2 linked regions of the Drosophila melanogaster genome follow. The protein of the gene in region 1 purifies or fractionates together with the protein of each later gene. This does not show direct contact. Each region holds a gene or a part of one and is shown on either strand. Other genes may lie near its edges.

Evidence for each region.
Region 2: the proteins of sbb (region 1) and tll purify together in Drosophila melanogaster (affinity purification with western blotting; one study listed by BioGRID). This does not show direct contact.

The regions. Positions count from the first base shown.
Region 1 is NT_033778.4:18,354,100-18,359,182, forward strand, and holds the start of sbb (scribbler), read right to left. Parts: upstream 3,198-5,083; 5' UTR 3,039-3,197; exon of another isoform or gene 1,957-3,038; 5' UTR 1,401-1,956; intron 1-1,400.
Region 2 is NT_033777.3:30,850,226-30,855,098, forward strand, and holds tll (tailless), read left to right. Parts: upstream 1-2,089; 5' UTR 2,090-2,321; coding exon 2,322-2,397; intron 2,398-2,518; coding exon 2,519-3,801; 3' UTR 3,802-4,175; downstream 4,176-4,873.

The sequences.
Region 1 (5,083 bases):
TTTAGTGTTATGGCCGGGCCAAGAGAGCGCTGCCTAATAGTCGCTTAATTGTATCTGCGTGTGCGTATCTGTAGCTATGTGTGCATATCGGCAAGTGTATCTATGCATTTATGACTAAACAGTTGTTTAAATAAACACTTTTGGCATGTTTACCCGAAATGCGTCTGCAATGTTTACTTAATTAAATCGAGAAATGAGCAAACAAAACGAAACGAGAAACGCAAACAACAACCCTATCTACAACTATATAAACTTAAATTTAAATAAACTTAAGATAAGGCAACGGAGATTTTGCTTCCGGAATTAGAAGCGAATTTAAATTTGCACAGATAAGCAGTATAATCAAGTAGAAATGCTCGTTAAGGAAATGTATTTTGTATGGGTTTTAATTTATGACCAAATGGATAGGTGGGCAGTGAAAGATTAGCATAGTATTAGTTTATAACCAGTAGGTTTTAAGTAATATTTTTTATAAAACTAAATATTTTCACTTAAGAAACATCATATTTTTAAGAAAGGGAAATAAGTGAAATGTAACTTTTCCATTTGGAAAAAGAGCACCATACACCCGATATTCATTTTCATAATTCGAGTAAATGCAAAACACGCCCAGTGACGCCCCCCTCCCTTCCTTACCCAATCAATGCCCCAACCCCACCTGCACCCCCACCCCCGCTCCACTGTTTTGTTTATCGCTCATCGTTCGGCTGCGCGCTGTTTGCCATTCGGTTCGCTTGACGCGTCGCCGCAGGCTTCATTAGGTGAGCGTGATTCCGATTCGCATTTCCATTTCGACAACGATTCCCATGCCCCCCGCTGCACCCTTTCTCATCGCTCTTCTTGATGACCCGCGAATTCCGCTTGTCTTCCCACATTACGCTTGCAAAACGAAATTCCATTCCATTGGTGCCGAACAAAAACCCAAATTAAATCCACTTCAATAAATCTCAAAAAGGTAACAAACAAAATACAAAAAAAAAAAATAAATAATAAAAAAACCAAGCACACCAACCGGCCTGTCAATTTTCTAATCGCTCGAAATAACAAGAAAAAACTCCATTTAATTACAAATCGGCTTAGATTGAAACGCCTTAATTGGCATTAACTCGATGAAAAAAAAAAAATGTGTACACGAATACTTGTGCGGTAATTAATCAAACTGGAAATCAATTTAGGCTCATGCCCTCTCGTTCCCTCTCTTCTTTGCTCTCCTTCTGACTCAATAGGTATCTGTGCTGTGCGAGCAAGAGAGAAAGTGTGGAGTATCTTAGAGATGTGTAAACTTAAACAATAGAGATTTTATTGCAGCTAAATGTTGGCTCTTTGTTTATTAACTCTATTACAATTGTAAATTAAATTAATTAGATAGTCTAAATTCGATAATAATTACTGTAACTTACCTTTTTATAAATCCAAAATAGTCGCAATTTCTGCTCTGAATATGCGCGTTCCCGATTTATAGACAGCATCCAAAAGATGAAGAGAAGGCTCGGGGGTCGGGTGGCAATGAGCAGTGGGTGGCGATGGGCAGGTGATGATTCCTTTGCTTCCTGGCTTGCTCGCACCCACAGTGAGCGACTATCGTGAGGGGGGTTTGGGGAGAGAGTGAGAGAGCACGCGAGAGGGCGTAATAATCCACAAAAGAAACTCCCAAACTCCCAGCTCCCGGAGCTAACGGAAGGTGAAATGCAAATCCGCAAAATTTTCCTAGCAGCGCAATCTCAGGAATTATTTTCCATTTATGTAAGAGCGAGAAAGAGAGAGAGAGTCAAACTTGGCTTTTCTTTCTGCTTTTCACTGCTTCTGCTGGATTCTATTGCTGCTGCTTCTTTTTTCTGCTTGTTTTTCACTTCTTTGACACTTTTTGCATTTGCTTCTCTTTTCTATTTTTCTTTTTTTTGCGACAAATGTATGAACTTTTTTATGAGGTTAGTTGTTGTTTTTTTCTTTATTTCTCTACAAATACACGAAAAAACGGCACTTTGAGTAAGGCGAGGGAGGGAGACGACGAGAGAGGGAGCGCGTGTCCAAGCTCTGTTGCCTTTGCCTTCTCTCCGCCTGTACATATGTATTTGGCAGAACAGAAGCTGCTCCACCGCACACATACACGTGTACATGCATAGCAAGAGAGGCGGTGAACAGAGCTTGGGGCATAGAAAAAAAATACACGGGGGAGTTGTTGCACGACAGAGATACGGCAAGCGAGGGGAGAAGTGGACACGAAGAGAGACTATACGACCGACGGACTGACGCGACGCGACTTCACCTTGCACACGCGCGGAAATTGGCGAGAGCGACAAAGCGACGACGGGTTCGTCGTTTGTCGGCGTTCTTTTACCGCAATGTTTGTGCGAAACATAAAAAAGCTTTGCACATACACAGCGGCTGGCAGTGCGAGCGAGAAAGAAAGAGACAGAGAGGGAGAGCGCAATACACACACACACACACACAAGCACATGCAGTGGCTGTATAGTAATTTTATTCCGGTACTATTCAACTGATGAAGCTTCTGTTGCTGTTGTTGTTATTGGCAGCAACATATTGCCAGTGCCACACTCTCATTTTGGTTCGTCTCCTTTTCCTTTCTTTTTTTACTACTACTTTTTAGTAGTTTTCTTTTCCTTTTTTTTTGGCGATGATGATTACGCTGCTCTTTTAACACACAGAGATACACATACAAACGCACGCACAAGTCAGGCCCAAGTGGGTAATTTGTTTTATGAGTAGCGGCAAATAGCACTTGTGTATGATTGTCGCTCTCCTCCTTCTTCTCGTTGCTGTTGTTACTCTTCTCTTTTCATTTTTTTTTTCTGTTGTGAATGACAGACAGCTACGAGTAATAATTTTTAATGCGTTTTTGGCATTTCTACGTTGCTTTGGGTTAATTGCTTGAAACGCGACGAAACACTAAATCACGCACACACAGATACGCGGTACGACCAGAGAGCGAGAGGCCAACAACACTTATTATTTTGTTGTCGAGTTGAATTACATTAAATGCACATGAGGAAATCACACTGGGGAACAGCTTTGCTTACTTCTTTTCCACAGATTTTAGTCCTTCTTGCTTGTTGTTTTTGGGATGTTGTTTTTCTTAATTAAAGATAGAACCTGATCCGCTCAGTGTTTTTTATGTTTTTGTTTGGCGACAGCGTTTTATCCGTGCTGTCCGAACGAACCGAAGGAGCAACGCGTACAAAAGCGCATAAATTGAGAGGCGAGAGTTGGCTAGCAACGCGCAGGGTTGTCGGCTATATGGGGAAAAATAACAAATACATTTCGGTAATTATATGGTTCCGAAAGAATTCTTGTTTTTAGTCGAATGCTTCTCTGATATAGTTATCGCGATTTCAAACTCTTAAAAGCAATAAAGTTACAATTTACTAATAAAAAGATTATTTACTTGTTAATATTCTCAGCCACTTGACAACCCTGCGGCATTTTCTACACACACATCCACTGCTTACATCGCACACACTGGCATTCCCATGCACATACACAAACGGTCTCTGAGCGGCATTTCTTTAATGGCGGCTTTTTCGCTCTTGCTCGTGCGCTCTTAGTGCCCTCTCCCGCTCTCTTGCTCTGCCGACGCCATATTGCGCAGTTATGTATGTTCATCCCTTTCCAATTTGTTTACAGTGCCGTCGTGTGGTCTCTCACTTGTCCGCTGTTGTTGTTTGTGTTATTGCGTTTGTTGCTCTTGTTATTGCTATGCCTCTGCAAATTGTTTTTGGTGGGGTCCTGAGGATTGATTACTGATTGGCATGTCGTTCGCCTATAGTCAGTTGCCTTTTGTTGTAGTTGTTCTTCCTTTCCGTTTGCTCCTTCTTATTGTCTTTCACCTTCTCACCACACGCACGCTGGCAGGCACACGCACACACCTCACCACCACCTCCACCATCTCCTCGACCAAAGACCATTTCCTCCTTGTTTTTTTTTTTTTCGTTGGTGGGCTGGCGGTTGGGGGAGTAGCATATAATGACATAATGAGATTTATTAGGCGCAAAATAAAGCCATAATGTTCCATTTGACCTTTGTGTAACTTTGACAGTGGTAATTCTCGCCTTCCTGTGCCACCTTATTATTATTATGATGATGGGCAAGAAATATCCTTGCTGTATATACATACATACATATGTATACATTTACATATATAGGGTGCATTGCAGAACATGAGCATTTTCAATTCGTCGTCAGCATTTTGAAAGTTGCCTTTAGCAGTCGCCGATGCAAAAGGCAAATAAGTTCCACTCAGCCCAAGTTTCAGATCAGGAGCGCTTAGGTTAAGCTGGTACAAGCCTATTTGTTTAAATATTTGTATATTTGAGCACTGTATTACATTTGTCTTTTTTTTTTTTTTTTTTTTTTTTTTTTCGATGATGTTTTTATTATTTGATCAACGCACTGTTACCCATGCGGCAACTTAATTTGATCTGCTTAAATTATTTTATTTTACAATGTGTCTTGGTTACTTAAGACTAACAGATTTTTAATCCTAAAAATGATAGGGAGAATTATAATAGTTGATATAACATAGTAATTATTATTTATTTGATTATTCTAATGAATTTTAAAACTAAGACTTTCTAGGTCAAAACCAGGTTAGGGAGGTCATGAGGGTGGTGTCGCTTGAGTCTTCTTTTGACTCTAGTCCGAGGGTCAGCATTGACCACAGCTGCAGTTCCTAGCTTCCTTGCTAGGCTGTTGGGGTGTACATTAAGCCTTTCCATATATTTTTGGGCGATGTTCTGGAGCTTGTCTCCTAATTTGGGCACCTTGAGGTCGCGTTCGATGTCTCTTGTTCTCATATACCAAGGAGCCCCCGAAATTCTTCTTAAGGTCTTCGCCTGTAAGATCCGGATCTTATTAAGGTGACTCTTCGCAGCAATGCCGTATACCTGCAGGCCGTAGAACAGGCAGGGGGCCAATATGGACTTGTAAATATTGACCTTGCAGCCAAGCGACAGTTTGTTGCGTGGTGCAATGAGCCAAGACATCCGAGCAACCTTGGTCCTGAACGCTTGCTGAATATTTGTGATGTGCCTGCTGAAGGTGAGCTTCCTATCGAGGGTAATACCAA
Region 2 (4,873 bases), on another chromosome or scaffold:
GTAACTACAACTTGATGAATGACAAATTGCTTTATTGCCACAATCAAGAAATGTTATCTCTAAAATTCCAAATTAATTAAATAGTAATTTTAAATGTATTGGCCCTTGGAAACTGTTTAAAGAACTATGCGAATTGACTATTACCACATATTAGTTGTTATGTTAAAAGCAATGACTAAATTTTCGCTTAGTTGTGAACATACTCATACAACGTGGGAAGATCGAACAGATGCAGCCTCCTCATCTGCATATTCACGAGTTCCCACAATTATAATTACTTCAAACTCAATGAACGGTCAAGGGAATGTCAAAAATTGATATGTCATCGTCATCTGGTTTAGTAGAGCATCCTCCCCCCATGGAAGTCCAGCTAATGATCGGAATAGCAACACACGCAAGCGAATTCCCATGCAGCACACCTGAGTTCCAATTAACCACCCCCTCCGATTCAGCATCATCCAGGGGTTGACTAGTCCAATTAGAACCCCTGGACATTGCAACCCCTGGCGACTGTTGTTGATATCATGTCAAGCATTTTATTGATCAAGTTACGCATCCGTAATACGAATCGAAATATAATTGCTCTTTTCAAGTGTCTATCGTATATCAAATGAATTGCATTTGCATCTCCGCCCTTCTGCATTCGAGTCCGTTCGAGCAGAGAGCTGTTCCCACGTTCGAGGTCCTGGATCAGGATCACATGGCCTTAGGCGTTGGTGCGTAATCGCACCAGACTTACAGGATCTTGCTTAACATTATTAAGTACTCGCCCGATGCTGGGACCTCGCACAATGTCTTTCTTTTGAATTCGCTGATCCCGAAGACAGAAAAGCTTGATCTAGCAGCCTCCCGACCAGCGTGCCTTTTCCAGGCAGTACCACTCCCGCGATCTAAAATCCGTAATCTGCTTAAGCGGCGAGCTTAAGTCGAGGAATCGGTGGGTCCTTCGGGACTTGGCAGGACCAAGCGAGATTAGAGGCACTGTCCACTTGAATCCTAAAGGCTCTCAAAAGGCAACGCCTAATCTGGCTCAGCCGCGGGAGCTACTATCTCAAATGGCTAGCTCCCATTTTAGTAACATGAACCTTTGATTTTAACAACTCCGTTTTGGGTTTACTTTAAAATAATTTTATTTATTAAGCATTTATAAAAATTATTATTAAAAACGCAATCTGAGCTCCGCAATAATTTTCATAAAGTATTTTTAGATTGAACCTAAAAAGTTGCCAAAGCTGGCTAAGAAATGCAAATATTTGTTTTTTATTTTAATCAGTGCATATATTTTATATAGGAAATACGTTGTATTTGGTTAGCAGAAGTTATTCCAAAATTTAATTTTATGGGGGAATCGAAGAATTTGTTTAGATGCTCAACATTATAATGCACTTTCTTAATTAAAAAATGTTGAGTACATTTTTTAAAAATTACGATACAAAATTCATACTCAGATTTGTGTAAAATTGATAAGCTCAAGAAATCTGTACAATCTGATATCTATCAAAGTCTTTAGATTTATCATTTCCCTAAACATTTATATGGTTGCATCATAAAAACCTAATTACTGAATGGAAAACAATCAATAGTGCGTGGTATTCAACCCCTGCTGCTACTATCGCCACTCGAAAAGGACTCGCCTCGCAGGACTAGAAGCGAACCCACAGGTACTTCACACAAATCACAAAGCGGCAATAATGGCAGCGCCATAAAATACTCGGCCATGGATATGGAAGGATATCTCTTCATTAACAACTGTCGCAGGACGGGCAGAGATTCTCTGCTGCGAGAGAGGGTAGCAGACGGACGAGGAGTTCGCGTGAGAGAGCAGGTAGTGAATCCTGCGGAAAAGGGCCATAAAAACCGAAAGAATTGAGAATGAGAATGAGCGACGGCTGCTGCGTTCCTTGCTCAATGAATTTTTCGCAATGGCAGCCTGCCGCAGGATCGAAGGATTCTCCAGGGGAGAGTGAGAGAGGATATGCGAGAGAGGGCATTAGAAGCAACCCTCTCCCGAGTTTCGACCAATGAACGCGGAGTTTGTCTACCTAAGGGTGATCGACTGCTCGATGAATGGATTTGGTCTGCAGGACTATTAAAACGCCGGCGGTCCTCACAGCAGACAACACAACCCATCGTGATCTCAGCGAGTCCACATCGGAGTAACCAAGGATATATCGAATATATCACACAATCCGCAATACCGCCGTCCACCCAAACCGTTAAAACAAAAATCCAAAACGACTCAAAGATACACCAGTGCCAAGTGAAATTCAATTTGTGCAAGCGTTTCTACAAAAATCGCCAAAATTACGCCCCACATCGGTATGCAGTCGTCGGAGGGTTCACCAGACATGATGGATCAGAAATACAACAGCGTGCGTCTTTCGCCAGCGGCATCGAGTAAGTATAGCAAAAAAAAAAATCAGATAGCAATGAAAAAAGAAGAAAACAATCTTCCTAATATATAAAATTAAGACAATCCTTTACTTATACCAACTTTCCCCCCTTCTTGAATTTCCAGGTCGCATTCTATACCATGTGCCCTGCAAAGTCTGCAGAGATCACAGCTCCGGCAAGCATTACGGCATCTACGCCTGTGATGGCTGCGCCGGATTCTTCAAGAGGAGCATTCGGAGATCCCGGCAGTATGTGTGCAAGTCGCAGAAGCAGGGACTCTGTGTGGTGGACAAGACGCACAGGAACCAATGTAGGGCTTGCCGACTGAGGAAGTGCTTTGAGGTCGGAATGAACAAGGATGCAGTGCAGCACGAGCGGGGACCGCGGAACTCCACTCTGCGTCGCCACATGGCCATGTACAAGGATGCCATGATGGGCGCCGGCGAGATGCCACAAATACCCGCCGAAATTCTGATGAACACGGCTGCCTTGACCGGCTTTCCTGGAGTACCGATGCCCATGCCTGGCCTGCCCCAGAGGGCTGGTCATCATCCTGCTCACATGGCTGCCTTCCAGCCGCCACCATCGGCTGCCGCTGTCTTGGACTTATCCGTGCCACGAGTGCCCCATCACCCGGTGCACCAAGGACACCACGGTTTCTTCTCGCCCACCGCCGCCTACATGAATGCCCTGGCCACTCGGGCCCTGCCCCCCACTCCTCCGCTGATGGCAGCTGAGCACATCAAGGAAACCGCGGCGGAACACCTATTCAAGAACGTCAACTGGATCAAGAGCGTACGGGCCTTCACCGAACTGCCCATGCCGGATCAGCTGCTCCTGCTGGAGGAGTCCTGGAAGGAGTTCTTCATCCTGGCCATGGCCCAGTACCTAATGCCCATGAATTTCGCCCAGCTGCTGTTCGTCTACGAGTCCGAGAATGCCAACCGGGAGATCATGGGCATGGTGACCCGCGAGGTGCACGCCTTCCAGGAGGTGCTGAACCAACTGTGCCATCTGAACATTGACAGCACCGAGTACGAGTGTCTGAGGGCTATTTCGCTCTTCCGTAAGTCACCACCGTCGGCAAGTTCTACCGAGGATTTAGCCAACAGCTCAATCCTGACAGGAAGCGGCAGCCCGAACTCCTCGGCCTCTGCTGAATCCAGGGGTCTTCTGGAGTCGGGAAAAGTGGCGGCCATGCACAACGATGCCCGGAGTGCGCTGCACAACTACATCCAGAGGACCCATCCCTCGCAGCCCATGCGATTCCAGACGCTCTTGGGCGTGGTGCAGCTGATGCACAAGGTCTCAAGCTTCACCATCGAGGAGCTGTTCTTCCGAAAGACCATCGGCGACATCACCATTGTGCGCCTCATCTCCGACATGTACAGTCAGCGCAAGATCTGAAAAGTATGTAGAGCCTAGACTAATCGCCGCACTCGAAGTGCCTTCCAAGTGCTGGGAACTGTGATAATCTCGGAAGAAGCGCTTTGGACAATACTCGATCAGTGAAATCAACGATTTCTCATATCCAGGAGTCGAGCCTTAAAATACGTACACAACACTCACCTTAATACCTTACCTAAACAGAACTCGAAGTAATCTTAGCTAAAGTCTCTCAGACCATCCAGATGTGTTTCAAATTGCATTCGCAAAAGTTTCAACTTTGCCTGTTAAATACGTCAATCGTAGTTTTAAACACTTTAGTTTTAAGCGCATATTATTAGCTTTAGGATTTGGAAAAATAATTATTCAAAATAAACCTAAAGGTTTTCGAAATGAACATTAATGGGTCTTTTTGGGTGGATGCAATATTTTGGAAGAAATGGAACTGACAGTTTCAGAACTTGGATTTGGACTATCGGAAGTTTTAAACTTGAAAAAATATATTTCATTAATTAAATGAAAAAACGTAGTATTCACATTATTTGAAAGGTCTTTTGGTTTTCAAAAGCTATGCTTAGAAAAAATATATCTAAACTAAACAAGAAGTAGGTCCTAGTTATTTGCGCAACTTTTGTAAGCAGCTGAAAGTGTTATGCCAAACATGGAATCATGAGATTACACACGGAATTATCATTCTTTTTATGGCCATTTCGTGAGGCTTTTCGCATCCTTAGAGACGACAAAGCAACCGCACAGGGCAACCCAGTTAATCACAAATGAATTATGCAAATACTGGAACAAAGAAATATTAGATCGCAGAAGAAACCGTGGAAAATTAGCATAGTTTTTCTGCATGAACAGACCAAAGTCGGCATTAATTTGGGAACCTGAGGGACGCAGTGCAATGGCCGCCCCAGTTTTGATATCCTTTCTCTCCCGCCCCGAAATTCGAAAAGTTAAAAAGCAAAAATTCACTTTTGTGACTTTGTCGAGCGGCGTTGGATCGTCGCATTGCTGGCAGGACCGGGAACGGGGTTTCGGGGATCGGGGATCGCTCTGCCGGAAGGACAATTGAATCCTTTCACAATGGCCA